Linked DNA regions of Oryctolagus cuniculus. The protein of the gene in region 4 interacts with the protein of the main gene of each other region in a biochemical or structural test. Links are inferred from orthologs where the notes say so. Each region holds a gene or a part of one and is shown on either strand. Other genes may lie near its edges. The genes, in order: PTPRC, PTPN6, PTPN22, LCK and MAPT.

The links.
Region 1: of the proteins of LCK (region 4) and PTPRC, one has a biochemical effect on the other in vitro, tested with the Homo sapiens proteins (5 studies listed by BioGRID and IntAct, with this or other methods). The link is inferred for Oryctolagus cuniculus from reciprocal best matches to the Homo sapiens genes LCK and PTPRC.
Region 2: of the proteins of LCK (region 4) and PTPN6, one has a biochemical effect on the other in vitro, tested with the Homo sapiens proteins (4 studies listed by BioGRID and IntAct, with this or other methods). The link is inferred for Oryctolagus cuniculus from reciprocal best matches to the Homo sapiens genes LCK and PTPN6.
Region 3: of the proteins of LCK (region 4) and PTPN22, one has a biochemical effect on the other in vitro, tested with the Homo sapiens proteins (3 studies listed by IntAct, with this or other methods). The link is inferred for Oryctolagus cuniculus from reciprocal best matches to the Homo sapiens genes LCK and PTPN22.
Region 5: the proteins of LCK (region 4) and MAPT form a complex in vitro, tested with the Homo sapiens proteins (2 studies listed by BioGRID, with this or other methods). The link is inferred for Oryctolagus cuniculus from reciprocal best matches to the Homo sapiens genes LCK and MAPT.

The regions. Positions count from the first base shown.
Region 1 is NC_091444.1:14,986,607-14,992,534, reverse strand, and holds the end of PTPRC (receptor-type tyrosine-protein phosphatase C), read right to left. Parts: intron 5,390-5,928; coding exon 5,254-5,389; intron 3,860-5,253; coding exon 3,584-3,859; 3' UTR 1,959-3,583; downstream 1-1,958. UniProt on the Homo sapiens protein: Protein tyrosine-protein phosphatase required for T-cell activation through the antigen receptor. Acts as a positive regulator of T-cell coactivation upon binding to DPP4.
Region 2 is NC_091440.1:102,586,098-102,592,344, reverse strand, and holds part of PTPN6 (tyrosine-protein phosphatase non-receptor type 6), read left to right. Parts: intron 1-544; exon of another isoform or gene 545-714; coding exon of another isoform or gene 715-722; intron 723-815; coding exon 816-938; intron 939-1,123; coding exon 1,124-1,318; intron 1,319-3,358; coding exon 3,359-3,548; intron 3,549-3,689; coding exon 3,690-3,806; intron 3,807-3,913; coding exon 3,914-4,027; intron 4,028-4,178; coding exon 4,179-4,275; intron 4,276-4,587; coding exon 4,588-4,667; intron 4,668-4,803; coding exon 4,804-4,953; intron 4,954-6,247. UniProt on the Homo sapiens protein: Tyrosine phosphatase enzyme that plays important roles in controlling immune signaling pathways and fundamental physiological processes such as hematopoiesis.
Region 3 is NC_091438.1:56,507,047-56,513,924, forward strand, and holds the start of PTPN22 (tyrosine-protein phosphatase non-receptor type 22), read left to right. Parts: upstream 1-2,376; 5' UTR 2,377-2,520; coding exon 2,521-2,607; intron 2,608-6,878. UniProt on the Homo sapiens protein: Acts as a negative regulator of T-cell receptor (TCR) signaling by direct dephosphorylation of the Src family kinases LCK and FYN, ITAMs of the TCRz/CD3 complex, as well as ZAP70, VAV, VCP and other key signaling molecules.
Region 4 is NC_091438.1:140,188,070-140,193,539, forward strand, and holds the end of LCK (tyrosine-protein kinase Lck), read right to left. Parts: intron 3,049-5,470; coding exon 2,846-3,048; 3' UTR 2,415-2,845; downstream 1-2,414. UniProt on the Homo sapiens protein: Non-receptor tyrosine-protein kinase that plays an essential role in the selection and maturation of developing T-cells in the thymus and in the function of mature T-cells. Plays a key role in T-cell antigen receptor (TCR)-linked signal transduction pathways.
Region 5 is NC_091448.1:17,252,578-17,258,824, forward strand, and holds part of MAPT (microtubule-associated protein tau), read right to left. Parts: intron 5,640-6,247; coding exon 5,553-5,639; intron 3,745-5,552; coding exon 3,679-3,744; intron 1,643-3,678; coding exon 671-1,642; intron 1-670. UniProt on the Homo sapiens protein: Promotes microtubule assembly and stability, and might be involved in the establishment and maintenance of neuronal polarity.

The DNA.
Region 1 (5,928 bases), on a different chromosome or scaffold from region 4:
AATTCACTTGCAAAAGTATTAGAAATCTGAAGGACGCTTGTACTTTTAAGACTGTGGTTGTGAAGGCACTCCTCTGGTCAACTTCACACAGCTTTATTATGTGAGAAAATGTTAACATACTGTGCTCTTTTCTGTAATTATGTATTTGCCACTTACTTGCAAAATTATGGGTCTGAGAGCTGAATTTTAATTTTTTTCAATTTTTAAATTTTTTTTATTTAAGAGAACAAATTTGAAATATTTTATAGATGCAGTTCTAAGAAGATAACATACTTTTCCTCACTTCTTAACCTTCTTCAACACCCCCTCATTCCTTCCTTTTTTCCTTTAATTTTGCCAATAAGATAATTACCTGTATAATTACAGCCTTAATGCTGACTAATCATAATGCTCAAGCAAAAATAGAGAGACCACAGTTCCACAGAAATACAGACCAGATTGTCAAATACGTCTTTTAGTCTCAATAAATTCTAGTATTAGGAAGGAACAAAACTTCACAGAAACCTAGCATTCTTGTTCTGCCCAGTAAACATATGAAGAGGTTTTTAAAAGTTTGTGGAAATGCATAGTATGAAAAAAAACCATGTATGGATTTTTAAAAAAAATTGCACAGAAACAAATCTTTTAATTTCATTTTCTGCGAACTTTTTGAAATGGGATGCAGAACTTTATCCTCAATATGTGCCAGGATTTTTAAAGTTGGAATTTTTTGCTGAATTTTTCTGACTTGGTGTTGCAGTGCGTAAACTTAGCAAAGAAATCCTTTCTATCTTGGGACAGATTCCCTATGAATGCAACCCAATTCACATATTATTTAATTTTTTAATGATAAAAGTCATAGACATGTAATTCCACATTTCCATGCTCCCTTTTCCACAGCCTTCCATTTGCAGAAGAAAAATGAATGTTTTCTGCTTGCTCCCTAAAGGGATAGAAATTCTGGGGGCTCTATTGATCTTGCATCTGTAAAAGTGTGGTCTCAAATGGCTAATGCACATTTAAAACACACAACACCCACATTTAGAAACCTCTGAAAAAAAGTATAGATTATTTAAAATCTAGAAGTTTGTTATTTGTGTTTTGTAGCAATTCACAGATAAAATAGACACCCATCATATGTGTCTACTGAATATTGGAACTGCACATTATAGCGATGCCATCTATCCGTGACAGCAGATCAAGTTTCAATAGGAGAAAATGAGGCACAGAGGTTTGAGTGACTTTCAGAATTGAAAGCAAGGGGCCGGCTCTGTGGTGTCGCGGGTTAAGTCGCTGCCTGCAGTGCCGGCATCCCATTGGGCGCCGGTTCAAGTCCTGGCTGCTCCATTTCCCTTCTGGCTCTCTGCTAATGGCCAGGGAAAGGGGTGGAAGATGGCTCACGAGGAAGACCTGGCTGAGGCTCTGGGCTCCTGGCTCTGGCAGTTGTGGCCATCTGGGGAGTGAACCAGTGGATGGAAGACCTCTCTCTCTCTCGCTCTCTCACTCTCTCGCTCTCTTCCTCTGCCTCTCTGTAACTGCCTTTCAAATAAATAAATAAATCTAAAAAGAAATTTAAAACAAAAGGTAATCTTAAAAAAAAAAAGAACAGAAAGCAAGACGCATTTGAGTTCTGATGCCCATTTTTGGACAACTCTCATTCCCCCTTCTCATTAATAAGTACATAGTAAGTAACCTTAATATAAATAAGAAGGTGTTGCTTCACTGAAAATTCACTTCGTTTAATCTATTAAATAAAGGCAAGGAACCACAGACTATCCTAAGGATTAATTGCCAATTGTATTTTATAGTAATAAAAGCATTAGAAGCAGGAACACAAAATATGAGTCCTACATACAGCAATCGGTGCTGTATAGTGAAGACATTTAAAATCAGCAAGAACGCCGAAGAGATTAAAAAAAAAAAAAAAAAAGACCAACCTAGAGAATGTTAGGTCACCAACTTAATAAGCTGACACAGAATTCACCAAAAGGAGTCACTTTTATTACTTCTTGGAAATTATCACTGTTCTTTCTTGGGTGTCTCCCCCACCCCCCGCCAAGATCCTAAACAATGATTAGATTTTGGGTCTTTCAGAAAACTGGAGGGCCAGCATCGTGGCACAGAGGGTTAAGCACCGGTTTGAGTTCCAGCTGTTCCACTTCAGATCCAGCTCCCTGCTAGTGCACCCAGGAAAGCTGTGGAAGATGGTCCAAGTGCTGAGCACGTGGGAGACCCTGATGAAGCTCCTGGCTCCTGGCTTTGGCCTGGCCCAGCCCCAGTAGTGGCAACCAAATGATGAGTGAAACAGTAGATGGAAGATCTCTCATTTCTCTCTCCTGATCTCTGTAACTCTTTCTTTCAAATAAACAAATCTTTTAAAATAAAATTGGACCTGCAAAATTATTCTGCAAATATCATTAATTGCACTAAACTTATATTTTAACAGGAATACACTATTTCACATAATAACATGTAACATACCTTGTATACCATAAACAAGAAAAGATAATTGATTTTACTACGATAATTGATATTAATTCCTGGTAAAGTAGTCTAAGCATTTGAAAAATTTGAAGTAAATGCATTCTAACAAAGACAAGGACAACTTTAACATGAGAAATACACATATGCAATATTATATTTCTCACATCAATGTTGAATTCCATAAAAATACCTATATTAGGCTTAATATGCAAAATACTTGGCACAAATATGTTTTCATGCTTTTATTTTTATCCTATGAATTCCAGCATATAGTGCATGTATTTATTTTAAAGATATTTATTTAAGTTCAAACTTATGTATCAAATATAATTTTTCATCAAAAGAATCAAGCAATGAATTTCATATTTGTACAGAGAATAATCCTTGTGGAGGGTTGTAGACACCAGGAGATGATAGCAAGATAGGTCAATTGAGTTTTTAAATTAGATTAAATATACTTAAAAAGTTATTGAACTCAAAGCTAACATATGGAGCATAAGATTTCCAAATGTTACCTTACTTAATTTTTCATAGTAGCCATATTCACACATAGCACTTTAGTGCACTCTTTCTGGAAGTATGATGGTAAACATTACAGTATATATGAATTGAACAAGGAGGACATCTTGAGGTCATTCCAGAAATGTACATGTTGTTATTCTTACACTGAGTGCACTTGCAATTTCTGATTTTAAAAAATAAATCCTTCAAGCTAAGTTAACACTTTATATATGTGTTTTTTCTTCAAGAAAAAAGAAAGGCAAAGTTTCTCAAAAGCACTTGGATTCACTTGAAAGTTTCTCTCACTCTTTCTGCTTCTCTTTCTCTCTCTCTCTCTCTCTCTCTCTCTATCACACATACACACACACACACACATAGACTACATAGAAATGGTTTTGCTGAATGACAGATAAAATTTAAAAGTAAGCATAAAACTGTACAAAACATCTTAGCAAAAACTATCTTAAATATTTTTGAACGGTAGTAAAGCAAGCTTCCTGCACACATCAGTCCAATGTACTTCACTATTCCACTGTGTACCTATTTCCCTCTCCTACTTCTAGGAAAATAGAATCACATCTTATAGGAGGTTTTGAGTGGCTCCATCTATGTCTCTTCCTTATGCATTCTGAGTTAAGGCAGGGCTTGCAGGGCCATTGGCAGAATGTTCTGGTTCCTCAGGGCCACTCGTGGGCTCAGGACTTTCAGCCTCTTTGTTTCCTTCATGGGTCGTATCTGGGGCACCTCGTGAACTAACACAATTCACATCCTGCTTTGCCTGGTCCACCTCATTATCAAATTGGATTTTATCATCTTGATTGTTGCTTTTCTTTACTTGTCCATTCTGGGCAGGGTAGTTGCTGGCAATAATGTCATACAGGAATTGATATTGCTCCTAGTAAAGAAAGCAGCCAAAAATTACATGAAGAAAGTTGACTTGATTCTGTTGTGTCAGATAAAAATGAGCAAGAACAAATCATTTACTGTGGAAGCCCAGGGTGATGGAGAAGTACTGTGATACCTTCTCATAAGGAACATTCCAGATGGATTAATTTCCTTACCGTTCTAAAAGATCAACAGCAGGGGACCTTTCAAAATGTGCCTTACAGCAACACCAAACTGGTGTCACTCCCTCAGCACACAGAATGACATCTATCTCAGTCCCAGGTTTTTGCCCATGGTGCCATTTTTGTGCTCATCCTCTAGGTCAATGTCTACACATAATTTAAGAACCACCTGTTGCAAGAAGCCCATCCTGTTTCTCCCGGTTAAATAAAATGTCCTCATTCACCTTCTTAAAATTTCTCTGGCACTTTACTCATTACATTGTTTAACAAATATCTGGCTCTCCCCCGCACTAGTGAGTGCCCTCATGCCAAGAGCACATAGTAGACATTCAATGTATTTTAAAATCTGTCTACAGACACTCAATATCGTTCATGATTGAAATCTTCATAATTCCCAGATGATGGCTTAGAGTTGCCACCACCCAGAAAGGACGCAAAGATAGACTGATTCTACCAATGCATTATCCTCCCTGTGTCCATTTCTCTTTTCAGTGTGACCCCAGGCCCTGGAGACAGGAGGTGGAGTCTGTTTTCCCAGCCCTTGAATCTGAACTGGCCTTGCGATTTGCTGGGTTTAATAAAAGGTAGAAGAAGACACGCTGTCTCATCGCCAAGCCTGAGTCTCAAGAGACAAGGGCGGGTCCGAGCTCCTCCTTGGAACACTGTTACTTTTATGTGGGCTCATCTTCTGGATGAAGAGGGACACGTGGTCCACTCACCTTGTTACCGCATCCAACTGCCAGCCTGCGTGGCACTGGAGTCAGACCAGCAGACAACAGCGGTCCACTCCCTGGACGCAGCTGATTGAGACAGTCTGTCTTGATTGGCTAAGCCCAAGGAGTCAGGTCAGCAACCCAGCAGAACAACAAACTACTGACCCAGGAAGTAATGTCACTTGTTTAAGCCGCCACATTTTGGAGGTCATTTGTTAAGCAGTGACACAAATTTACACAGGATTAAACGTGGAGAAATTAAGGCAAATCCATCAGGATTTAAGGAAACATTCTTCATGAATTGTAACATCAAATTGCTGGCAAAATTCAAGTTGGTCCCTTATAGTGAAAATAATCCAATGTGAATTATTATGTAAAATAGAAGGGAGAAAAGAAGAACCAAAAAGAGAAGGAGAGGAGAGGGAGGGGTGGGGAAGGGGATGGAGAGGAGAAGACCCTCAAATTAAAGATACTACGCATGTTAAAAAGAAAAGGCAAGGTATACTCACATATGTGGAAACCATTCCTGACCTAGCCTTGCGCAGAGATTTCACTACTTGGAAAACATCTACTACCTCTTCTGTTTCTGCACTTTCCATGAGATTCAACAAAGCACAAAATATTCCTGTTTGTTGAGATCCATCTCTATAAGAAGGAAAAGCAAAAGAGAAAAAAAGCAATTCTACTTTTAATAGAGTAATATTAGAACAGCAAGTAAAAGACAGGGGATGAATGCATATTTATGTCAAGGTTATTCTAATTATTTTATTCCAGTCTCTGAGTTATAGCTGTTAAATGCTGTCTTGGGGCAACACCTTTTCAATCCAAGACTGTGACAATCCTGTAGCTTGGAAAATACTTTGCAACTCTTCTATTTAGTGCTTTATGGATTTTAGTGCACTCTTATTGACATCTGAAATAGTTAGGCTCAATATCGTACCGCCAATTTGATAGATTAGAGAACTAAGATTTAGCGAGGATAGAGGAATAGCTAGTTACTGATGGGACCAGAAGTATTAGACTTTATGTTTGTAAATTACTAGATGGCAGGCTTCTTCTAATTCATTTGTCTATGCCTCTTAACCACTTTTAAAAATGTTTCTCTTCCACATCAGGAGAAAAGTGATACCCAACAGATCTATTCATTAAAACAAGGACAAGCAATGACTTACTAAACTAAAGTG
Region 2 (6,247 bases), on a different chromosome or scaffold from region 4:
GCAGCCTCTGTTCTTTGAAGCCCCAGGGCTGGTGTGCAGTGGTTGCCATTCCTGGTTTGGGACGCAGCCAGTCTGGGTTTCAGTCCCGGCACTGGCACTTGACTAATTGGATGACCTTGGGCCAATCCTTCCACTCCCACAGCCCCGGTTCCCAGTTGGCAAAGTGGGGTCGCAGCAGGCGCCTGTGTCCTAGAGCTGCTGGGAGCGCACGCAAAGCCCAGTGAGGCCCCATGAACGAACAGCGTATTAGCGTGGGCCAGGGAGCGGATGGAGGAAGAGGAGACCATGGCAGGTTCCCAGGCAGGAAGCAGAATTCTTTGCCATGAGGTGTCCCAGGCGTGCGTGGGCCCCCTATTCATGAGCTGTCCCATCTGCCGCAGTGCCATGCCCCTGAGCCTTAGATGGCGGCCGTGTGGGAAGTGGGCCCTGCCCCCATCCCATGTCACCCCGCTCTTCTCTTGCTCTATGCTAAAAGGAGAAGTCAAGTGAGTTCCCCCAAGGGGTCGGCCGCGCCCCTTCCTGTCCCCGCCCTGCTGGCTGCGCCAGGCCAGTGCAGCGGCAGCCCCAGCCCCGGCACCGCACCGTGGGGTGGGTGGTGAGGCGGCCGGGCGCTTGGAGCCCAGTTTGAGCCTTAGCTCCAGAGTGCTCCGCCGGCCTGTGTGAGGCTGCCCTCCTTCCTTCCCTGCTGCCCCTTGCTTTCCGGAAGCCCCCAGGATGGTGAGGTAAGCGCTGGGAGCTGCGGTCAGAGGGTGGGAGATGGGGGTGCTCTGGGGCGGCCGAGGGACCTCTCCTCACCACCCTGCCCGGCCTTCCAGGTGGTTCCACCGGGACCTCAGTGGGCTGGACGCAGAGACCCTGCTCAAGGGCCGAGGCGTCCATGGCAGCTTCCTGGCTCGGCCCAGTCGCAAGAACCAGGGAGACTTCTCCCTGTCTGTCAGGTAGGTGGTCCCAGCGACGCTGCACTGGCCTAGGCCCCTGGAGCCCTCATTCCCTGCTCCCCTGGCCCCGTGCCTCTGCTGTGTCCTTGTCCCACCCCCACCCCGTCCCCCACACCTGCGCAGGCCCCCTCCCCATGGGTTCCCCGGGGGGCCAGACGCCTGGCCTCACGGCTGGTGCCCTGCAGGGTCGGGGACCAGGTGACCCACATTCGGATCCAGAACTCTGGGGATTTCTACGACCTGTATGGAGGGGAGAAGTTCGCCACGCTGACGGAGCTGGTGGAGTACTACACACAGCAGCAGGGCGTGCTGCAGGACCGTGACGGCACCATCATCCACCTCAAGTACCCGCTCAACTGCTCCGACCCCACTAGCGAGAGGTGAGGGCCCTGCAGCCGGCCCCTTTGGCCCGCCCCGGCTCAGGCCTCTGGGCTCCGCTTCTCCCTCTTATGCTGCAGCCTTGCCCTTCACCGGGGTCCTCCTGGTGGCAGGAAGCCGCCCCTCGTGGCGGCCGAGCCCATTGTTAGAAAGCTTCCCTTCTGTGGAACTGAATCTGCCTGCTTATGACCCGGGCCCCTACAGGCGAGCTGTGTGAGCTGGGCTCCGGGCAACCCAGTGAGAGGGGGTCTAGCCCATGGGGTCCCCACAGAGGTAATGGGAAGCAGGTGGTATGGGGTCCTGGAAGGACAGGGCCCTGCACTGTGCTCAAGGCCGACCCCCAGAACAGGGCTGGCTCCTCCCCAGAGCGTGAACCTCACCCAAGGGCCCCAGGGGCTCACCCTGGCCCTATCTCCAAGACAGAGCCTGCTGTGGGCTGCCTAGGGTTGTTTTTTTTTTTTTTTTTTTTTTTTTTTTCATCCTGACTCCTGTTGAAATGCTTCTGCACCTTGCCCCTGTCAGTTTTCAGTCCTTCTGAGATTCATGCCACCAAACCTGTGTCAGTATTTTGGCCCAAGTGACTGGTTCAAACCTAGCAGTGGACAGGGCCGGGGTGGACACGAAGCCCTGGAGAGTGGCTTCCTGGAGGGACGCCTCAGCAGGGCCGCCTGCTCCCTTGGCCTCTCCCTCCCCACCCACAGCTTGCCCCTGTGGTTCCTTCTGCCCCTTTCTCCTCACCTCAAGCCTGGATGGCCCTGCTGGAGGAGACCTTAGGGCTGCCGTGGGTTGTGGATGGCGCTGGAGAGGGGAGCTGAGCAGCCCCTGGGGAGAGGGCTGGGGGCCTGGGTTCACCGGGCGTGGGAGAAGCAGGAGGGGAGGGAAGGCAGTGCTGAGGTGGGGACCCTCTTGGGTCACCCAAGCTGAGAGGCCTGGGTCTCACCCCTGACCCCAGGAACCTGCGAGAGGCCCTGTCTGCAGGCTTCTGAAACCTCTGCCCCCTCTTTGGCCAAGGCCTCCTCTTCCGGCATTTGCATTTGTCCCCTGGATGGCTGTGTCCCTGTCTGTGGTCAGCCTCACATTTGCATGGAGACTTCCTCATCCTGGGGCCCAGGGAAGGGGGCTCGCCCCCTCCCCATTGCCTGGGGGCCCTGGGCTGCCCCTGGGTGGTGGTAGGGAGGGGTGGCTTGGGGGCTCATGGGCGGGGTGGGGGACTCTAGGGGGCCTCTGAGCTGGAGTCTTCCCCAGGGAGGGGGTGGGGGGAAGAGGGGACATGCTGGGGACAGGCCGGCCCCTCCCTCCTTCCCCCATCCCTGCGGTTGGAAAATGCCCCCCTTCCCCTGGTGCCGGCTGAGGAAACCTCACTTCTCACTCTCTCCCCAGAAGGAGTTGGTGTTTTTTCCATCACGTGGTTTCCTGTGGGGCTGGGCATCGCGGGGCTATGGTTTCCTCCTGGGAAGGGGGTATACTTCGGGGAAAGGTCTTAGTTCTGTTTTCTGCCCCCTTGCGTCCCTGTGAACCCCGACCTCCCTTTTGGTGACATCATGCTGAGCACCCAGAGCCCCCTAAACCACTGTGTCCCTAGTGGGGCTGTGTCCCCCGCTCCCTGCCCGGTCTCCCCCCTGAGTTCCCCCACTCAGTCTGCATGTCTTTGTCTCTGCTGCCTTTCCCTAGCCCAGACCCCTCCTCCGGAGACTCACCCCTGGTTTCTCCACGGAGCCCCAGTAGTGCCTGCCTCTCCTCTGTCTTGAGTTCTCAGATGGGCTCTGGGTCCAAAGCCTGGCTAGAACTCTTGAGGCTGCCTCTTACCAGTCAGAGGTCTTGGGCCGGTGTGCGGCTGCTCAGCCTCAGTTTCTGCACCTGTCAAGTGGGATCCCAGCACATTTCTGTGAGAGAGCAATGGATCTCAATCCTCAATGTGGTGGACTTGCAAGCATCCAGCTCAGTGCCTGGCACGTCGTGGGCAGTCTGTGAATGCCTCTGCCTGCCCGGGGCCTTTTCCCCGTGACCTGGGTCTCATCTGCCCTGATGCTGCTTCCCTCTAGATGGTACCACGGCCACATGTCTGGAGGGCAGGCAGAGACGCTGCTGCAGGCCAAGGGCGAGCCCTGGACGTTTCTGGTGCGTGAGAGTCTCAGCCAGCCTGGAGATTTTGTGCTGTCGGTGCTCAGCGACCAGCTCAAGAGTGGCCCTGGCTCCCCGCTCAGGGTCACCCACATCAAGGTCATGTGCGAGGTAGGCAGCTGGGCGGGGGCGGGGGGGGGGGGGGCTTGTGTGAGTTCCTGTCCGTGCCCGCAGCGTGGGCGGCGGGGCGGGTCTGCTGGGGCTCAGGTCCGAGGCTTCGGGTCCAGGGATGGCCTTGCTCGGCACCCTCAGGGTGGACGCTACACGGTGGGCGGTCCCGACACCTTTGACAGCCTCACGGACCTGGTGGAGCATTTCAAGAAGACGGGGATTGAGGAGGCCTCTGGTGCCTTCGTCTATCTGCGGCAGGTAAGCACATGGGCCCGGCTGCCTGCTGCCTGCCCCTGAGCCCTCGCGCCTGCGCATGAGCTTCTGAGACCTCCGAGTGGCTGACATATCGCCTTCCCTGACCCCAGCCATACTACGCCACGCGGGTGAACGCAGCCGACATTGAGAGCCGGGTCTTGGAGCTGAACAAGAAGAAGGAGTCGGAGGACTCGGCCAAAGCTGGCTTTTGGGAGGAGTTTGAGGTGCGCGCTGGGCCTCTGCAGGGCTGGGACGGCCGAGGCCTTCGGCGGCCAGCGTGTGGGGTCCCGGGTGGCCACCTTCCTGGCCCCAGGTCTTGTCTGCCCGTGGGTGCCCTCGTAGGGGGGCTGCTCAAGCTCCTCTCTCCCCTTGCAGAGCCTGCAGAAGCAGGAGGTAAAGAACTTGCACCAGCGGCTGGAAGGGCAGCGGCCAGAGAACAAGAGCAAGAACCGCTACAAGAACATTCTCCCTTGTGAGCACCCAGACAGCCCCGCCCCGCTGCGCAGGGTCTACACCCTCCCATTCCCTCCAGGAAGCCACCCCTGCCTCCAAAAGCCCCGACTCCTCCCAGTGGAACCCCCACCCCCACCCTGTGCCCGCAGCCAACAGGCAGTTGCCGCCTGCTCTCACCAAACTCCTCCTTCTCAATCCTCTACCCCACCGCCCCACACAGATCCCCTGCAGCCCACTGTGAGCCTCATGGCTTTTGAGACCAGAATGCCTGACCTGTTAGCGTAGGCAGGGTCTGACCAGGCCGCCTTGCTTCCCCTCTGCCCACTCCCAGTTGACCACAGCCGAGTGATCCTACAGGGCAGGGACAGTAACATCCCTGGGTCCGACTACATCAATGCCAACTATGTCAAGGTCAGTGTGGCAGGTCCCATGGGAAGCCCTGGGGACACAGAGACCCTCGGGTGGAAGAGGGTGGCCGTGGTCGAGGCCTGTCCCAGGCTGCTGAGAGGCTCATGGTCCTGGGGCTGTCTTCTCTGCTTGCATCCAGAACCAGCTGCTAGGCCCCGATGAGAACACTAAGACCTATATCGCCAGCCAGGGCTGCCTGGAGGCCACGGTCAATGACTTCTGGCAGATGGCCTGGCAGGAGAACACCCGTGTCATCGTCATGACCACCCGCGAGGTGGAGAAAGGCCGGGTAAGGCTGAGGCCCCATTGTTCACCACCGAAACAAAGAAACTGAAGATGCCAGGGCAGAAAGGGACCTTAGGGGGTGAGGGTTTAACCCCTGCTGGGAGGAGGGGTGGCAACGCTGTGACGCAGTAGGTTAACCCTCCGCCTGTGGTGCTGGCATCCTATATGGGTGCTGGTTCTAGTCCTGGCTGCTCCTCTTCTGATCCAGCTCTCTGCCATGGCCTGGGTAAGCAGTGGAAGATGGCCCACGCAGGTGCAGGGGCCCAAGGACTTGGGCCATCTTCTACTGCTTTCCCAGGCCATAGCAGAGAGCTGTATTGGAAGTAGAGCAGCCAGGACTAGAACTGGTACCCATATAGGCTGCCGGCACTGCAGGTGGGGCTCAGCTATGCCACAGCGCCAGCCCCAAGCCCCATGTTTTAAACTGTCCTTCCCCTTACCGTGTTTGGAAGCAAAGCTTACTGCTGCCCATTCCCCATGTGTCCCCCTGCAGGCCCCTCTTGTTCTGTCTCATAAATGGCTCTGGAGCCCACCCCTTACTCTCTGGGCTCGCCCTTCCATGGCACCTCCTGTCCTGCAGCCAAAGTGACCCTGCCCAAAGCACACAAACTTGACCCCATGGCTTCCTCTCTGGAAACCCTCTAGTGGCTCCCAGCTGCCCTCCACCTGAGTTTTCAGTGTAAGGCTGGCACCCGTGGCACCCACCATCTCCCGTGGGTCAGGCTCTTCAGGCTTCTGTGGCTTTGCCCAAACTCATTTTATTCTCTCCCCATACTGTCTCTGTCTTGTCTTTCTTTCTTTCTTTCTTTCTTTCTTTCTTTCTTTCTTTCTTTCTTTCTTTCTTTCTTTCTTTCTTTCTTTCTTTCTTTCTTTCTTATTTACTCATTAGGGTCGGTGCTGTGGCCTAGTGGGTAAAGCTGCCGCTTGAGGTGCCGGCATCCCATGTGGGGGCCGGTTTGAGTCTGGCTGCTCCACTTCTAGTCTGGCTCTCTGCTATGGCCTGGGAGAGCAGTAGAGGATGGCCTGAGTCCTTGGGCTCCTACACCCACGTGGGAGACATGGAGGAAGCTCTTGGCTCCTGGCTTTGGGTCAGTGTAGCTCTGGCCGTTGTGGCCAATTGAGGAGTGAACCAGCAGATGGAAGACTCTCTCTCTCTGCCTCTCCTTCTCTCTCTGTATAGCTCTGACTTTCAAATGAATAAATAAATCTATTTTTTCTTTAAAAAAAAAAAAAGGTTTACTTATTTATTTTTTGAAAGGCAGGGTTACAGAGAGGCAGAGGCAGAGAGAGAGAGGTCC
Region 3 (6,878 bases), about 84 Mb from region 4:
ACCAGTGGATGGAAGATTTCTCTCTCTCTGTGTAACTCTGACTTTCAAAAAATAAATTTTTTTAAAAATAAAATTTTCCTATATTTCATGTGTTTTAGAATAATCAAATGAAACATTTAATCATTTAAAGCAGCAAGAAATTCTCTAAAGCTACATGGTGATAATTTGAGAAATATTGTCCTGTTCCCTCCAAAAACGTTGCTGAAGAATTATGGTTTATTTTAATTTGCATAGGCTGGAATTGAAATTACTTTCTTGGAATATTGACTCCAAATTGCCTATAGTCCGAATACCTCACTGACCTTCTCTTCTTGTTGTGGAGCTCAATGAAAAGGATGCAGGCCCCTTAGGGCTTGGAATAGCCTTCAGACACAGGATTTCCTGAAAGGAGTTGGATAATGTTGCAAAGCAGAAAAGACTGCTGATATTTTAGATACAATACATTTCCCTCTTTTCTTCAATATTATTTCAGATTCATTTTATTAACATCTTTTTTTAAGATTTATTTATTTATTTGAAAGTCATAGTTACACAGAAAGAGGAGAGACAGAAAGAGAGAAAGAGAGAGAGGGAGAGAGAGAGAGGTCCTTCATCTGCTGGTTCACTCCCTAGTTGGCTGCAATGTTTGGAACTATGCCAATCCAAAGCCAGGAGCTGGGAGCTCCATCTAGATCGACCACACGAGTGCAGGGGCCCAAAGACTTGGGCCATCTTCCACTGCTTTCCCAGGCCATAGCTGAGAGCTGGATCAGAAGTAGAGCAGCTGAGACTTGAACTGGCGCCCATATGGGATGCCGGCATCGCAGGCGGCAGCTCCACTAGCTACGCCATAGCGCCGGCGCCATTAACATCTTATGTCTTGGGGCTGGTGCTATGGCTTAGTAAGTTAAGCCTCTGCCTGCAGTGCCAGCATCCCATATGGGTGCCACTTTGAGTCCCAGCTGCTCCACTTGCCATCCGGCTCTCTGCTATGGCCTGGGAGAGCAGTGGAGGATGGCCCAAATGCTTGGGCTCCTGCACCCACGTGGGAGACCTGGAAGAAGCTCCTGGCTGCTGGCTTCAGATCCACCAGCTGCAGCTGTAGCAGCCATTGGGGGAGTGAACCAGCAGATGGAAGACCTCTCTCTGTGTCTCTCCCTCTCTCTAACTCTGCTTCTCAAATAAACAAGTAAATAAATCTTTTTTAAAAAATTTATACTTCTTGAACTTCTGCCCTCGGGCAAACATGATATTCCAGTTTTGCATGTTTGTTTGTTTGTTTTAAAGATTTACTTATTTTACCTGAAAGTCACAGTTACACAGAGAGATAGGGAGAGGCAGAGAGAGAGAGAGAGAGAGAGAGAGACAGAGAGAGAAGTCTTCCATCTGCTGGTTCACTCCCCAGATGGCCACAATGGCTGGAGCTGCACCAATCTGAAGCCAGGAGCCAGGAGCTTCTTCCGGGTCTCCCACGTGGGTGCAGGGGCCCAAGGATGTGGGCCATTTTCTGCTGCTTTCCCAGGCCATAGCAGAGAGCTGGATCAGAAGTGCAGCAGCCAGGTCACAAACCGGCGCCCATATGGGATGCCAACACTGCAGGTGGCAGCTTTACCTGCTACGCCACAGCGCCGGCCCTGGGTTTGGGTGTTCTCACCCTGACCTGGACACGAGTGGGGTTGTCTGCATTGATGAGGGAGCTCGCGCAGACAGAACTACATAGGCCTTTTCCACAGCAGCCTGCTTGTCGGCCGAAACACCGCATGCCCACTGTAGCTTTTCCAAGACAGTGGCTGCAAAGTGCAAGTGTCTTCAGGTTTTCTGCCCTAAAGGCTACACTGTTGTCAGGAGGTGGCTGTGGCTGACTGTCCTCTCTTTTTTTCCTTTACAGTTTGCCAGCTGCCTTTGGTTCATCCAAAAAGAGAATCTGAGTTCCATAGGGCAGATGAAAAGGTTCTGGATAGAAACGTCTTCTCTAATGAACACGTGGCCACTGCTCACGGTGATGAGAGACCCTGGGGGTGCAGTCCCCACTCCACCCAGCGCCTGTCTCCTCTTCCCGGCCCAAGCGAACTTGGAGTTTTTTCGCGGCCATGAGGAAGCAAGGTGTCACCGAGCCCTGGAGAGCCGGGAGAGGCAGCCCTCCTGGATGAGAGCCGCCATTCTGCCTTCGGGAAGCAAGCCCAGGGGTGAATGTTGCTTCATCCAGGATGATGGCGCCGAGGCCTCATGAGAGCCCCCATTTGACGTTCCGCTCAGCTTCTGTTTTGTGAAAAACTTGAACGGCACCCGGGGTTCGTTTGTGGAGAAGGAAGGCGCTAGGGCCCCCGGGAGTGCGAAGTCGGCGTGGTTCTGTGACCACAGAGGCCGGTTGCGTACTAATTTCCTCCAGAGCTTGCGATGCAGTCAGTAAAACCACAGCCTGCAGCACGCTCGGCTCGGCGGCAGCAGCGGCGGCGTGCCGGGAAGGGGGTCTCGGCCATGACACACATCTGACATGCCCTCCCCCAGGCCCCTCGGAGACGGTTTCTCTCGCTCTGCAGCATGGACCAGAGAGAAGCTCTGCAGAAGTTCCTGCACGAGGCCCAAAGCAAGAAAATCCACAAAGAGGAATTGGCCGATGAGTTTCTGGTGAGTGCCGTGTGTGCGGCTCTCGGGGCTCGGCACACACTCTTTGCTGGAGTAGGTCTCTCCAACTCCACTAGACCAGCCTGCATGGGACAGAGGGTCAGGTCTAAAGGGGACGAAGGAAACTTAGAATAGAAGGTTGACTTTCCTGAGTGGTGTGTGTGTGTGTGTGTGTGTGTGTGTGTGTTAGGGATTTTCTCAAAACTACTGGCTTTGATATTTTCTGGTTAGCTGTTCGGTTTGACCAAGAATCCTACAGAAGACATATAAAACTGTAGATGTATAAATGCTCTTGTTACAGCACTCTGTGAATTCCCCAGGACCTGCCTTGTGCTGTATGCTTCAACTTGCTGATTCTAATTAAGACTCAGAGGAGACAGACTGAGATGAACTTCAAGGAACAACACGTTTTTTGAGTCTCCCCAGGGGATTCTGTTTGGATGACACAGGGTTTTGAAGAGCATCGAAACTACCCACTGTCACGTTGCCTTTTTTCTTTTCCCTACTAAATAATAATAATAATAATAATAGTAATATCAGAGCACGTGGTTTTGCAACAGGCTTTCCCTAACTTTTTCTGGTTGGAGAGGTGGAACCGGCAGGGTGGAGAGGATAAGACAGCAGAGGACATGGAGAGAAGACAGATGGCTTCGGGTCAGGAGACTTTGAGTGGCAGCCGGGTAGGCCCCATTCACCCCATACTCTGGCACGTCAGGCAACACAGGGTGCCTGATATCCCATGTATTTTGGAATACTTCCGTCTGGTGTTTTAGAGGCATAAGAAATGTAAACCTGAACTCTTCAGCTATGAAGAAGTGGAAGACTCAGGAGAAGTGAAATGTAAAACCTGGAATTAAATCGTAATTCTGTCACCAAACAGATTATTCCCTATTTGGCATGTTCTCTAATCTCCCTAGAAGTTTCTGGTTTCTGGCTTCCAGGATGAAGAGAATACTATGTGTCTTAGCTATCCTTGCAGGTGATTAAATATCAATATCAATAGTAACAGTAATGGCAACAGTTAAATGTGCTTATCGCTCAGTTGTATTTTTGGAGCACCTACTATGTACCAAGTCCAATTCTAGGCATTGGGGATACGGTATAAGATGATACAGAATAAGATGAACAGACCTTCGCCCTCATGGAGCTGCCATTCTAGGACTAAGGAGCAGAAGTAAAATCACTCTGTGATGTCTCAAGCAACTAGAACTTATACATGAGTGTCATCATCATGTAGGAAACCCCTCTGCCAGCTCAGCTTGGATAATAACATGGCCTCATGAAAAATGTGCTCTCAGTGCCGCTGGCCAGGCGGGCCGAGACCCTCTGGGTAGATTTGCCAGAGAAGAAAGGAGGAGGCCAGAGAAGAAAGGAGGAGGCAGGCCTGGCCCATGTCAGGTGCCTGCCCTTGGACCGGAATTCCTGGGCTAAATTCATCCAAGGCATAAAAACAGACAGTGGGCCCTGTCTTGTTTGGGTTGTGTTATTAGTAGTAGTGTATCGCACCCCTAACAGTTTACCTTTTCTTACTTCTGGTCATTGTACTCGTTCACCAGATTCTAGCAGCCAACTCTTAACAGATTTTCCTGCCTCCAGATTTGCCCCACTGGGGTCTGCTATCTGCTCCACACCCAATGATCTTTCAGTAATACAAGTCTGGTCCTTCTTTCCCCTACTTAAAAATCTTTCTCTTTCTCTTTCTCTCACTCTCTCTCTCTCTCTCAAAATTTATGTATTTACTTTAAAGTCAGAGTTACACAGAGAAAGGAGAGGCAGAGACAGAGAGAGGTCTTCCATCCACTGGTTCACTTCCCATTGGCTGCAACGGCCTGAGCTGTGCCTACAGGAAGCAAGGAGCCAGGAGCTTCTTCCGGGTCTCCCACGCGTGTGCAGGGGCCCAAGGACGTGGGCCATCTTCTACTGCTTTCCCAGGCCACAGCAGAGAGCTGGATCAGAACTGGGATGCCAGCACTGCAGGCAGCAGCTTTATCTGCTATGCCACAGTGCCGGTCCCTTAAAAAACTCTTTATTGTTTGTGGTTTTTTTTTTTTTTTTTTTTTTTTTTTTTTTAAGCCACTTAAAGTTGTGAGATCTAACACACTTTTAGAAAAGCACATAAATCATGTGAGTATAATTGCAAAACAGCCATCAGCACAGCTGGCACTCAGGTCAAGGGCCTGCAAAAGTTTGTGGAAAAAAAATTAAACAGTAAGTTTGCTTTGAGGCAAAAAAAAAAAAAAAAAAAAAAAAGTTGCAGGGGCCGGTGCTGTAGCACATTAGGTTAATTCTCTTTCTGCAGCACCAGTATCCCATATGGGTGGCAGTTCAAGTCCTGGTTGCTCCTCTTCCAATCCAGCTCTCTGCTGTGGCCTGGGATAGCAGTAGAAGATGGTCCAAGTCCTTGGACCCCTGCATCCATGTGGGAGGAAGCTAAAGAAGCTCCTTGCTCCTGGCTTTGGATTGACTCAGCTCTGGCCATTGCAGCCATTTGGGGAGTGAACCAGTAGTTGGAAGACCTTTCTCTCTGTCTCTCCCTCTCACTGCTTGTAACTCTACCTCTCAAATAAAGAAATAAATAAAAATTACATAGAAGAACACTGTCAGATCCCAGAAATCCAGGGTAAATCCCTTCCCCATCCCCCACTCCTGCTCCACCCTGTCCTGTTCTTCCCCAGGGATATTCACCATGCTGACTTCTAGATTAATCACTTCCTTGCTTTTCTAGCTCCTGATGTTAAGGCCCTTGTTTTAGGAAGATGATTAAGTGGAATCTCACTGTTCACTGACTCATGTCCTCCAATGGAAAAGAGTCTTGCCCTCCCTCAGCCCCACCTAACGGTTCAGCTGAGACACCAGAGGGCTAGATTTGGGGGAACAGAGGGGTGGTAGACAGGGCCAAATGGTGTGCTGGGGCAAGGTGGACACAGCCATGTGAGGGCTTTCTACCTCGTCACGTCCATAGCCTACCTAAGCTCTTTTTTTTTTTTTTTTTTTTTTTTTGACAGGCAGAGTGGACAGTGAGAGAGAGAGACAGAGAGAAAGGTCTTCCTTTGCCGTTGGTTCACCCTCCAATGGCCGCCGGGGCTGGCGCACCGCGCTGATCTGAATGCAGGAGCCAGGTGCTTCTCCTGGTCTCCCATGGGGTGCAGGGCCCAAGTACTTGGGCCATCCTCCACTGCACTCCCCGGGCCACAGCAGAGAGCTGGCCTGGAAGAGGGGCAACCGGGACAGAATCCGGCACCCTGACTGGGACTAGAACCTGGTATGCTGGCGCCACAAGGCGGAGGATTAGCCTAGTGAGCTGCGGCGCCGGCCCCTACCTAAGCTCTTAAGATATTTTCCCAGGGTTTGATGTTCCTGAGGCTGGAGGACTGATTCCATGACCCAAAGGCCAATGGCTGGCCTAGATGGTGGTGCCTTGGTGTGAATCATCAAAAGGCATCTTGTGTGCACTTTAAGGTGCATTTTTTGTTTGCTGTCACTGCCAGAATAAATATGCCACATCACATTCTCAATCTCTCTCTCTCTCTCTCTCTCTCTATATATATATATATATGCCACTCAAATAAACACAACAAATAAATAAATTTGAAAGAGAGAGAGGGTTCCGATGTGTTGGTTCACTCTCTAAAGGCCTGCAATGGCCAGGGCTTGACCTGGGGCAGAACTGGGAGCCCAGGGTCTGCATTAGCAGGAAGCTGAAGTCAGGAGCAGAGCCAGGAATCGAACCCAGGTCCTCCGATATGGGATGCAAATGTCAACCCTTAGGCTAAGTGCCTACTCCAACAGCCCAACTTTGATTTCTTTTTCCCATCCACCATGGAAGGACCAAGTTTTCTTTTTCTCTCTCGAAAATGCAAATTCGTATTATGTCTTCTGTAAAGTAACATAGTCCTTCCTCGCAAAGATATTGTGGTTTAGCACTTTCTTTTCCTTTTCTGTTCTCTTTGCACAATGGCCTTAACTCATTTGCTAGTTAAAAGAATTTATGTGGCCGGCACTGTTGCGTAGCTGATTTAGCTGCCACCTGCAGTGCCAGCATCTCATATGGGTACTGGTTCAAGTCCCGGCTGCTCCACTTCTTTTCTTTCTTTTTTATTTTTTTAAGATTTATTTTATTTATTTGAAAGGCAGTGCCTTTCCCAGGATACAGCAGAGAGCTGGATCAGAAGAGGAGCAGCCGGGACTTGAACTGGCACCCATATGGAATGCTAGCACCTCAGACCAGGGCATTAACCCACTGTGCCACAACGCCGGCCCCTGCTCCACTTCTG
Region 4 (5,470 bases):
ATTTTATTTATTTGAATGGCAGAGTGACAGAGAGAGATGAAGGGACAGAGAAACATCCAAAGGCCAGGACCAAACCAAGCCAAAGCCAGGAGTCAGGAACTCCGTTCTGGAACTTGAACTATTCTCCGCTGTTTTTCCAGGTGCATCAGCAGGGAGCTGGGTCAGAAGCAGAATAGCTGGACTCGAACTGGTACTCAATTTGAAGAAGGAACCTGCAGATGGATTCTCTCTCTCTCTCTCTTTCCTTTCAAATAAATAAATATTTTATTTTTTAAGATTTATTTTATTTATTTGAAAGAGTTACATAGAGAGAGAGACAGAGAGAGGTCTTCCTTCCAATGGTTCACTATCCAAATGGCTGCAACAGCTAGGACTGTGCTGATCCAAAGCCAGAAACCAGGAGCTTCTTCTGGGTCTCCCACGCGGGTGCAGGGGCCCAAGCACTTGGACCTACCTTGTACTGCTCTCCCAGGCCATAGCAGAGAGCTGGATGGAAGTGGAGCAGCCGGGACACCAACAGGAGCCCATATGGGATGCCGGTGCTGAAGACCAAGGCTTTAACTCGCTGCACCACAGCTCCAGCCCCGAAACAGACATCTTAAGTGGCTTCTGCAGAGGACACAGCCCCGAAGTCTGTTCCCCTTTCTCAGGCCTGCATCGTCTCTCAAAGCAGTCCAGGCAAGCTCGTGCATCAGGCTGCTGCTTCTGGCTGACTATCCCTCCTCCACAGCAGGGAGTTCAATTCCCTCACCTTCAAATCTTTGCTGAAGTCCCCTCCTCAGAGATACCTTCCCTGACAACCTTCTGTACACACGCAAATCTCTCCTAAGTATGACATTCCTAACTCCCCTCACATTTTCCCTTAGCACCTGTCACCTTGTAGTGTACAATATTACCATGATCCACTTCTTTGTGATGTCTTTGTCTCCCCTTACTAGAATGTAAGAAGAAGGGCAGAAATTTGTGTGTGCTTTATCCACTAGATAGCCTGTGGGCCTCAAACAATGCCTGGCACATGATAAATGTTCAATAAACATTTGTTAAATGAGGCCTGCGCCATGGCTCAGTAGGCTAATCCTCCACCTTGCGGCGCCAGCACACCGGGTTCTAGTCCCGGTACTGGATTCCGTCCCGGTTGCCCCTCTCCCAGGCTAGCTCTCTGCTATGGCCCAGGAGTGCAGTGGAGGATGGCCCAAGTCCTTGGGCCCTGCACCCACATGGGAGACCAGGAGAAGCACCTGGCTCCTGGTTTCAGATCAGCGCAATGTGCGGGCCACAGCAGCCATTGGAGGGTGAACCAACGGCAAAGGAAGACCTTTCTCTTTGTCTCTCTCTCTCACTGTCCACTTTGCCTCTCAAAAAAGTAAAAAAAAAAAAAATTTGTTAAATGAGTGAATTAATTCAATATTTTATAACATCTTGAAGGTGAATCAAAATATATCCCAGGTCAGAAACAATCCTTGAATCAGTAGCTATTAAAAAAATGCCATTGACCTCACATCGTGGGGTCATGTGACACACCCACTCCCAGGAGGCAGTGAGGAGCACTGTAGTATTTGAAGGGGCATGCAGAGTCCTGGTGGTAGAGCTAAAGGGACCTCCTCTTGGCCCCAGCGTCAATCACCAGGGCCAGCAGACTTTCGGACATCTGCTCATTCCATCTGTCACCGTGACTCAGCGTGTCCAGTTTGGTGTCTTGTTTGCTTTAAGATTTATTTATCAGGCCTGCACTGTGGGGTAGCGGGTAAAGCTGCCGCCTGCAGTGCTGGCATCCCATATGGGCGCCGGTTCTAGTCCCGGCTGCTCCTCTTTCGATCCAGCTCTCTGCTATGGCCTGGGAAAGCAGTGGATGATGGCCCAAGTCCTTGAGCCCCTGCACCGGCATGGGAGACCCAGAAGACGCTCCTGGCTCCTGGCTTCAGATCGGCGCAGTTCTGGCCATCACAGCCAACTGGGGCATGAACCAGCGGATGGAAGCTCTCTCTGCCTCTCCTTCTTTTTCTGTGTAACTCTGACTTTCAAATAGATAAATAAATAAATAAATCTTAAAAAAAGATGTATCTATCTATTTGAAAGAGTGACAGAGAGAGAGGGGGAGATACAAAAAGAGAAGAGATCTTTCATCCACTGGCTCACTCCACAAACTCCTACAATAGCCTAGGCTGGGCTAGGCTGCAGTCAGGAGCCAGAAACTCCATTCAGGTCTTCTACATGGGTAGCAGGGATCTAAGGACTTCCAGGTGCATTAGCAGGAAGCTAGAAGGGAAATGGAGGAGCCCAGATGTGGGTGTCCCAAGCAGCAGCTTAATACACTGCACAACACCCCAACCCTGGGGTGACCCAGTTTCTATCATGTGACCTCCCATTTACCACCCCCCCCCCCAAGAAAGAGATACGGAGTGCACAGCAGAGAGTTGCATCACCTTCATCAACAGACATTTATTGAGCCCCTAACAGGTGCCAGGCACCGACAAGGAGCACACAGAGGTATTAGATAAGGTCCTAACCCTGAAGGAGCTTCTGGAGGGCTTGGGCAAAGACAAGTGGGCAGGCAGAAGCTGGTGTCAATCACAAGACTCTCTCCTGTCTCTGTGGTATCAGGAAGTAGGAGTGCTTAGAAAGACACACCTTGGACAGTGTCGAAGGCATCCATGCATAGGCTACACATGTACAAGACACATGTGCAAAACCCATGCAACTCGGGATGTATGTACAAGCACAAGATACATATGTGTTGCACGTGGGCAGGACTCATGTGCAGAGTCCATATATGCATAGGCCATGTGGTTTTGGCACAAGAACTCCATCTCCCCAAGCCAGGCTGGCATGAAGGGGAAGGGCCTTCTCAAGGCTGGGGCTGGTACTGGCCCTCTGTGGCCGTGAAGAAGTCCTCCAGCACGCTGCGCAGGTAGTCAAAGGTGGGCCGGTCCTCTGGGCGCTCTTTCCAGCACAGCTTCATGAGGTGGTACAGCTCCTCTGGGCAGTTCTCAGGGCGCACCATGCGGTAGCCCCGCTCCAGGTTCTGGATCACTTCAGGATTAGTCATCCCTGGAGGTTGATGGGAGAAAGGACATCAAGGCTTTAGAATTTCGAAGCCCACAGCCAAGGGTGATGTTTAGAACCTGTAACTGGCAGAGTCCGAGCACCAGTTCAAAAGGATTTTGGTCTTCTTCAATGGTAAAGCCATGCTGGCAGCACCTGCTGATGTCATTCACACCACCTGACTACCTAATACAGCTCAAACACTCAATTAGCACGCACATTTTAGCTGTGGGTCCATGGACAGCAACCTTACCTCTTTTTTAAATAAAAAAATGGGATTTGTTTATTTAATTGAAAGGCGGAGGGGAGGGGGAGAAACAGAGAGCGGGATCTTCCATCTGCTGGTTCACTTCCTAAATGCCCACAACACTCAGGGCTGGGCCAGGCCAAAACCAGGAGCTAGGAACTCCATCCTTCTCCCCAGGGTACTTGGGCCATTATCTGATGCCTCCCAGGTGCGTTAGCAGGAAGCTGGATTGGATATAGAGGAGCTGGGACTCAAAGTGGGACTCTGATTTGGGATGTGGGTATCCCAAGCAGTAGCTTAACCCACTGTGCCACAACGTGCTCCCCCCACATCTCCTGCCAACCTCATGTCTTTGGGCCTGAATTTCCTTATCTGGAACACAGAGTAAGCTGCTGCTCCTCCCTCCCAGAGTCATTATGATGGCTGAACGAGGTAGTGTGTATGAAGGCCCAGTTAGGCGCTGCTTCACCAAGGGAAATTGTGATTATGATGATGACAGGTAGGTCAGGACCCAGGGCAGGATGGGAGCCCACAGCCAGGAGAGTGGTGAGGTTTCTCCCACTCTGGGACCAGGCACATGAAATGTGAGTCAGGAAGACAGAAGGGCCCAGGCCCAGAGAAGCAGGCTCTGCCTGGGACTGAGAAGGATCACCAGGCCCCTCCATGACCCAGACCAAATAGTCTTTGGGTTGGTTCCCTCCTTTTGTGCTGGTCTTGTTCCCCCAGGCAGGCTTCTTGTCTCAGGAGAACTTCTCTGGAGGATTGCAAGGATGTAATTCCTTGTTTTCATTTCATTCTTTTTAAATGTTTGTTTATGTTCATCTACTTGAAAGGCAGAGGTTCAGAGGCAAAGAGATATCTTCCATCTGCTTGTTCACTCCACAAACGCCTGCAACAGGGGGCCGGCACCGTGGCAGGGTAGCCTAAGCCTCTGCCTGAAGCGCTGGCAACCCAAATGGGCACCATTTCATGTCCCAGCTGCTCCTCTTCCAATCCAGCGCCTTGCTCTGGCCTGGGGAAGCAGTGGAAGATGGTCCAAGTGCTTGAACCCCTGCACCCATGTGGAAGACCTGGAAGAAGCTCCTTGCTCTTGGCTTTGGATCAGCCCAGCTCCAGCCATTGTGGCCATTTGGGAAGTGAACCAGTGGATTGAAGACTTTTCGGTCTGTCTCTCCCTCTCTCTGTCTGTAACTCTACCTCTCAAATAATAAAGAAAATCCTTAAAAAATTAGGAAAGAAAGAAAAGAAAAGGAAAAGAAAGAAAGTGCTGTCCCTGGGACAGAGAGAAGCTTTAAAAATAAATAAATAAAATTTTAAAAAATGCCTGCAACAGCCAGAGCTGTGCCAGGCCAAAGCCAGGAGCCCAGAACTCTATTTGGGTCTCCCACATTGATGGTAGCAGTCCAAGCTCTTGAGCCATCAGCTGTGTCAGAAGTGAAGTCACTGGGACTCAAACTGGCACTCCAATATGGGACACAGGCCACATCGCCCACCCCGGTTCCCTATCTTAAAATTATCCATGTATCCTCTTGCATTTTCTTCACTCTCCTGAGAGAAGACTGTGACAAACAGATCTCAAAGGCCAAACCCTTATAGGGTCCCAGCAAAATACATACACTGAAGTTTGGCTCCTGCTAAGCTTGGGGCTAGACCTTTGTCAATACAGACTCCTCTTCCCCAGCCCTTGCCCTTGGATGGCTCCTATCTCTGGATTCCTCACATTTTAAAATCCAGGAAGTAGAAGACGTAAGCCAGGAAACCAAACACGAGAGTCAATGATGCCAACCATCAGCTAAACCCAGCTTGAAGATGGCCCAGCTTGCTTTGGACCAGGTAGTTGATTTTCCATTTGTTTGTTTCATTTGCAAGATCAGGGAGACAGAGAGACACAAACAGCCTCCCCATATGCTGGTTCATTTCCTCAAATGCCCACAATGGCCAGGGCTAGGCCAGGCCAAAGCTGGAAGCCAGGAACTCAATCCAGGTCTCCCAGTGGATGGCAGGGACCCATCCACTTGAGACATCACTGCTGCTCCCATTGTCCACAGTTAGTAAGCTGGAGTCAGGAACTGGAGCGGGACTTGAACCCAGGCACTCTCATGTGGGGCATAGGTGTCCTAACTAAAGGCTTAACTGGTAGGCCTAATGCCCATATGGTGTTTTTAAACAACTTGAGTCAAT
Region 5 (6,247 bases), on a different chromosome or scaffold from region 4:
TCTCAGCCCCTGCGCCTGCCCTGAGGCCAGGCTGCCTCCAGCAACAGAAGCATGGCCTCTCCTCCCCTCCCACCTCCCCAGCCCCTGAGAGCCGCCAGCAGCCAGGGGTCTCCCCGAGGCTCTGCCCACCAGGAGGACAGCGCTTCCGCTGCCCAGCGCGGGGTGGGGGCGGGGCATTAGCGGTGTGTGTGTGCTGTCCACTGAGGAGACTGGCGGCCGCCAGGCCAGTGCCCCCTGCATCCCTGGCGGGAGGGAAGGCGGGGCAGGGAGTGGAGAGGGTTTCAGATCACCCCTTCCTGGACTTCGAAGTCAGCTTGGTCACTGCTCTGTGACCTTAGGCAACCTGCACTGCGTCTCTGAGCCTAGGTTCCCTCATCTGTGAAATGGGACGCATAATGCCCACAAATCCGAGGCACACGGAGATTTGGGCAGCACCACCCTCTGTCACGGGCAGCGGGGCCGTGCTGGGTCAGTCGAGTGGCCAGAGAATGGGAGAGGGCAGAAAGCGCCAGATGGGGTCGGTGACATGCAGATGGGCGGGCAAGCGTGAGAGCAGCGCGTGCTACCAAGAGCCTCGGGCCGGCCGACATCGGCGCTCGGGGGCAGTGCCCACAGCCTGGGCAGCCACAGGAGGCACCGGGGAGGGAGCAAGGGTGCTCAAGACACAGACCTTTGAGCTGCGGGACCCGGCTGACGGGCCTCCCGGGCAGACCAGCTGCGGGGTGCTTTCTAGACGGTTCCGGAAGACCAGCCTCTTGTGTGTCCCGTCCCAAAGAGGGGCCCTGGGCCTCTTGCTTCTCTCCAGGGCCCCCCGGCAGTGCAGTCCCTTCCAAATCCGGCTTGGAGTGTGCCAGCTCCTGCTCCTGGTGCTGCACACAGGCTGTGATCTCCCCATGCAGGGGGAGCTCAGGGGGCGCCTCGGGCTCTGCTGCCAGCAGCCCCGGGGGGGCCGGGCTGCACCCCACGGGCACCCAGGCCTGGGTCTCTGTGGCAACTTTGGAGAGGAAGTCGACAGGGAGTGGCACGGCACCGCCGGCGGGGAGCCCCGGGGTCCCGGGGGGTGGCCCACCTCGGCCTGGAGACACCTGGGAGGGGGGTGACTCCTGCGGGGAGGACTCATCGATGTCCTGGTCCTCATCCACCTCTTCCGGGCCGCCAGGCCTCTCTTTGCCCTGGTGCCCCTCCGGGCACGCCAGCAGCTCAGGGCTTCCCTCGGCAGCCACGGGTCCTGGCCCTGGGGGCTGGTGTGCGGCCTCTCTGGGCCCTTCAGGCAGAAGGGGAGTCCCAGACAGGGCAGGCACGTCCTGGCAGATCAGGCTGGGGGGCCCTGGGTCCGAGGCCTGGCCTCCTTGGAGCCCCAGCTCCCTGCCCAGGCTTTCCTGGGCCTTGATGATCTCAGGCCCCTTCTGCAGAGATCCGGGGGACACAGGCTTCGGAAAGGCCAGGCCCTCCTTGGCCAGGTCCCCATGTGTTGGTCCCCACTCTTGGCGGAGCTCCTGAGGGCCTCCTGGTGGAGGAGGTTCTGGGAAGACGGGATGCTGCTCAGGAAGGGGTGTGACCAACTCAGCCGAGGCTTCTGGCTGCTTCTGGCCCACAGGCTGCCCAGGTGCTGCCCTCTGCCAGCTGGCAACTCTCAGCGCCTCTGGATTTGAAGAGGCAGCAGTGGTCCAAGGTTAGCGAGGGCATGTGCAGTGTTTAAGAGAGGGGACCCGACTGCGACGTGGGAAAGGGCGTTTTAAACAGCGCAGCCTAACAAAGCAGGAGCCCCTCCCTGGGCTTATCCAGGGGTCTTGTGTGCTTGAAAGGCCAGCACCAATGAGGGGTCCACCTGCCACCAACTTCCTGTGTGACTGCGTGAGCACTGCCCCTCTGCGGGGCCTCAGTTCCTCACCTCGGCCCTGGGGACCTCCCAGGCCCCTTCCGGCATGGGCATCACTCCTGTGCTGGGCACAGGGACGTCACCATCTCTGGAGCTGCCCTGTGCCCCGTGCCCTGGCACCAGAGGAGCTGCTCCCCAGCCCAGAGCACCTGCGTCCCCCGAGGCGCCTGCATGGACCTGGCGGGTCCCTTCTCCACCCTCTCTCTCTCACTGCTGCCCACCATGCCCGGAGCCTGCTCTGGGAGACTGGATGCTCCAAGCTGCGTGAGGATCAAAGATGGCCATTAATGGACTGGCCACGGTTGGATTCCTTCCAACAGGAGCACACTCGCGAGGCTGGCACGGCCCGGCGTGGGGCAGATCCCGGGCCAGGTCTGACCGGCCAAACCATCGCGGCACGCCCACCTAGCCGGCTCCAGCTTTCTCACGCAAACAAGCGCCACCTGTGTGTTAGGGACAGGCGACCTGTGCGGTTCAGTTTCCCTACTGAGCCACCTGCATTTCTCCTGCCTCCAGCTCTCAGAATCTCACCTGCTACCAAGAGACTACCCGTCCTCCTGCCCAGCTCGCCTCTAGGCCAGACCTGGACCCCAGAGGATTCAGGCACTTGCAGGGAGGGGCTCAGACATGAGGGAGAGGTGGGAGAACACTCGGGCGCAGCCGTGGACACACGGGCGACATGGGGACCCCGCGGGAGTCGGTTGGGCCACAGGCACCGCGGGGAGGCCGCCTCAGCTCGGCTTCACCTCTGCCCTTGCCCCAGGCCCAGCTCCCGGGCTGACCTGAGTCCTCCTGGCTGTGGGCTGGCACAAGCCCAGCTGTCACAGGGGCCGGGGGAGTGGACCAGCAATTAGAAGGTCTCTGTCCGTCTGTGTTTTGTCTCTGTCTCTCTGCCTTTCCAATAAATAAAGATCTGTGGGAAAAACGCTTCCCCTTCTTTAAGACCCGGGCACAGGCGACCACTTCTAGAGGTTATATTTACGAGGTCTCCACTTTCACCGAAGCTCAAAACCCGACCTCAAGGAAGCGGGAGTCGGGATTCTAGAATCTCACACAGACGGGGACCCCTGAGGGACTCACACCCTAAGAACGTTTTTAAAGCACTCTGCCTTCACATGTCAGCCGAGAGAACCATGAGCCCACAGAGGGCAGTGACCCCTCTGGGAGCAGGGGTGGAGACTGAGCCTCAACATACCCCCTGGGACCCCTCTGTGGGTGCAGCGCCTCCTACAGCCAGATAGCCCAGGAGCGGCCTCCACGCCGGGCACGCCGGCACATCCCTAGCACTCTCCGGAGTAAGCAGCGTCTTCCCAGCTCCGCTGCCACCGGAAGCTTCCACACTGTCCGCGAGATGGCCAAGGTCATCTGCCCGGCAGGTGACAGGGAACAGACCCAGCCCAAGGGCCATCTCTTTCTGACCTCTCCATGTCCTAAACCCGGGAGGCTCTCAGACTTCCAAAGGTCTGGAAATGCCTGTGACAAATGGTTACAGAAAACCCGCTTTTCTGGAACACAGAAGAGACCCGGATGATGGTCTGGAGGCCGCACAGGACCAGGCCTGGGCAGTGACCACGCGGAGGAGGTGCTGCTCGGGGACAGACCTGTGGGCACTCACACTCGCCTCACCGCGGCCACTCCTTCTCAGCTCCCTGCCCGGGCAGGGCCAGCTTCCCGCAGGACACTGAACACCTTGGAACGAGCAGACTCCTCCCTACCCCCCAGTGCTCCCTCTGCCCTGCTCCCAGCCCCCGGCTGCGCCGGCACCTGTGGCGCACTGACCTTGACTGTGGCACACTGACCTTGAGTCACATGTCCCGCAGCTTGGTCTTCCAGGTTGGGGGTGTCTCCCACGCCGGCTTCTTCAGCTGGTGCCCGCGTCGGCAAGTGAGGAGACGAAAGCAGAGAGAGTTACTGACTGCACTCAGCAGGCCCCGGGCCTCCGGCACACTTCTAAAGCGCGCGGGGAGGGCGCGCCCTACGAGCCTGGGTTCCTCTGCAGACGTTACCACAGGGGACGGCGGGGACAAGGGTTCACCGGACACGAGCCATGACACCCGCGCACCTGACGGGTGACTGCGCCTTCCCTGCAGTCCGGGCCTCACTGCACCAGGACGCACAGGATGCACGCAGTTAGAGGAACGCTTTGCTGCCCGGCCCGCAGAGTGCCGGGAAGGTGGCGGGTCCAGGGAGAGAGAGGCCGTGGCTGCAGCAGGTGGTGGTGGTGGGGGGGCAGCCAGCTGGGCCCCCACACCTGCCACGACCCCACCTCTGCTAAAACACAGGCGCCAGGCCACCACCTCGGCGGAGAGCACGCATGACGCACAAGCAAGGGTCTTTGAGTCACGAGACAGCTACACAGTGACCGCACGGACGCCCAGCCTGGCGGCTGTCCCGGGGCTGCCATGGTGCGGGTGGGCTCATGGGCAAGACCTGCCTGGGGGTCCCTGCAGCCAACACCGTGCTGCCTACAAGGTGACAGCGACAGCCTGGGCATCTGAGAATAGCACCAAGAAGAAGCTGGGCCAAGTGCCCAAGAGCACAGTGCCTGGCGGGTGTGGACCAAGTTTCCAACAAGGTTACAGGAACAGGAGAGAGGTGCGGGGTGACAGCAAGGCCAGCTAAATGGTGGCATTCCTGTGTCCCTGCCAAGAGGTGGGGAGAGCTAACCCACCTTCATGGAAGAGCCACAGCCTGGCCTGCAATTGAAAGCTGCTGCCCCGGTGAGGGGCGCTCGGAGACAGGAAGGGAGGCGGAAGGTCGGCTCCGGCTGGGCAGCGCACGGCTGAGGGCCACTCCCCGCTGTCCAGCGAGGCAGGCCTGCCGCACGGGCAGCCGCACTGACCCAACGGGGGCACCACCGACGGGACGGGATCTGCCGCCACTGTGGCTGAGAGCTGACCCCAGTACGCAGGCTCCCACCCCACCCCACTGAGGACGCGGGGTCGGGAGCAGCTCTGGGGGAGATTCACTGGAGAGAGGGGTGTGGAGTAGGGGGTGGCTGGGGTGCTGGTCCAAGCAGGTGGCACCTGCAGACACCAGGCTGTGTCCCCTGTGGGATGGGTGAATGTGGCTTGTGTGTGTCCCCTGCGGACCTGATGTGAGAGCCGGTGAGAGGGGGCGTGTGGGCCCCTCCAGTGGTATCCACAGCCGGCTCTGCGGCGAGGACAGTGCAGAGCGAGGGCTCTGTGGATGGAGGCCAGGATGGGTGGGGCAAGAATCTAGAAGAATCAGACAAAGTCCACACAAGAGAGTGGCCTTGAAACAGCTGCAGGGCGTGTGTGGAAGTTGTGTTCCGCCGGCCCAGCTCTGGGACTACAGAGGCTTTGGGATGACCTGGGGCAACGGTGGGCTCCAGACTCCGCCAGGACCTGCATCCCAGGCAGGGACCAACGTCCCACCAACAGCCGTGCAGGACGGCGGGAGACAGAACCGGGCTCCTCCACAGCCGTCAGATGCCCTTGGAGAGCGCCCTCCCCCGCACCCCGCCCGGGAACACCTCCTGGTGCGTGAACTGGAAGAGCAGAGGTGGCTCCGCGGGGGTGACAGCAGGGGCCGTGGGCCTCCCCAGTGGCTGCGGGGAGCACCGTTGGGGACGCGTCCCTGACACCGCAGGAACCCTTCTGGGGGTTGCAGCCGGGGGCCCCAGGCGGGTGGCGCTGGGGACCGCCCTCACCTGTGGTTCCTTCGGGGATGTCCGCGTCGGGCTGGGCGGCGGCCTGCTCGCCAGGGGCTCGCTCATCCACTAGGGGCGCTGTCACGTCTGGAAACCACCGAGAGCGGCTTAGGGCGGCGCCGGGGGCTCGTGCAGGGGCAGCAGGGGCAGCGCGCGCGGGCAGCAGGCCCCGTCCGCATGCGGGGAAAGCACCAGCCCACGGCCGCGCGCGGGCGGGCAGAGCCGGCGGAGGGGCCCCGAGGTCCCGGGGGTCGCCCGCAGCTGTCCCTGCTTTCAAGCCGTGCAGGAAGGCAGGACTGGGACCAGGCGGTGCAAGGCGCGGGTGGGGCCTGTGGTTTTACTGGGAGGCCGTGAGCGGGCCTTTTGGCCTCTCTGGGCCTCAGTTTCCACATCTGCAAAGTGACAGCGCCCCTTGCGGGCGACCTCCACGAACCGTTCAGCTCTAAGGCCCTGACCCAGAGCTCCCGGGGGAGGCGGGATGGAGAGAGCCCAACCAGGCCTTGCCGTGGCCTCTCGTCCAAACACTCGGCAGTGGGCACTCATCCCTGGCCCACACTAGGACTCGCCAGCTGCGGAGGTGGGAGAGGTCACCGCCGGTCAGCGCCCGCCCGCTCCCGGGGCTGCCCTGGGGTCCAGAGAGCAGCAAGAGGCGGCTGGGCGACCCTCCGGGCAGGATGCCCGCACGGCAGGTGACC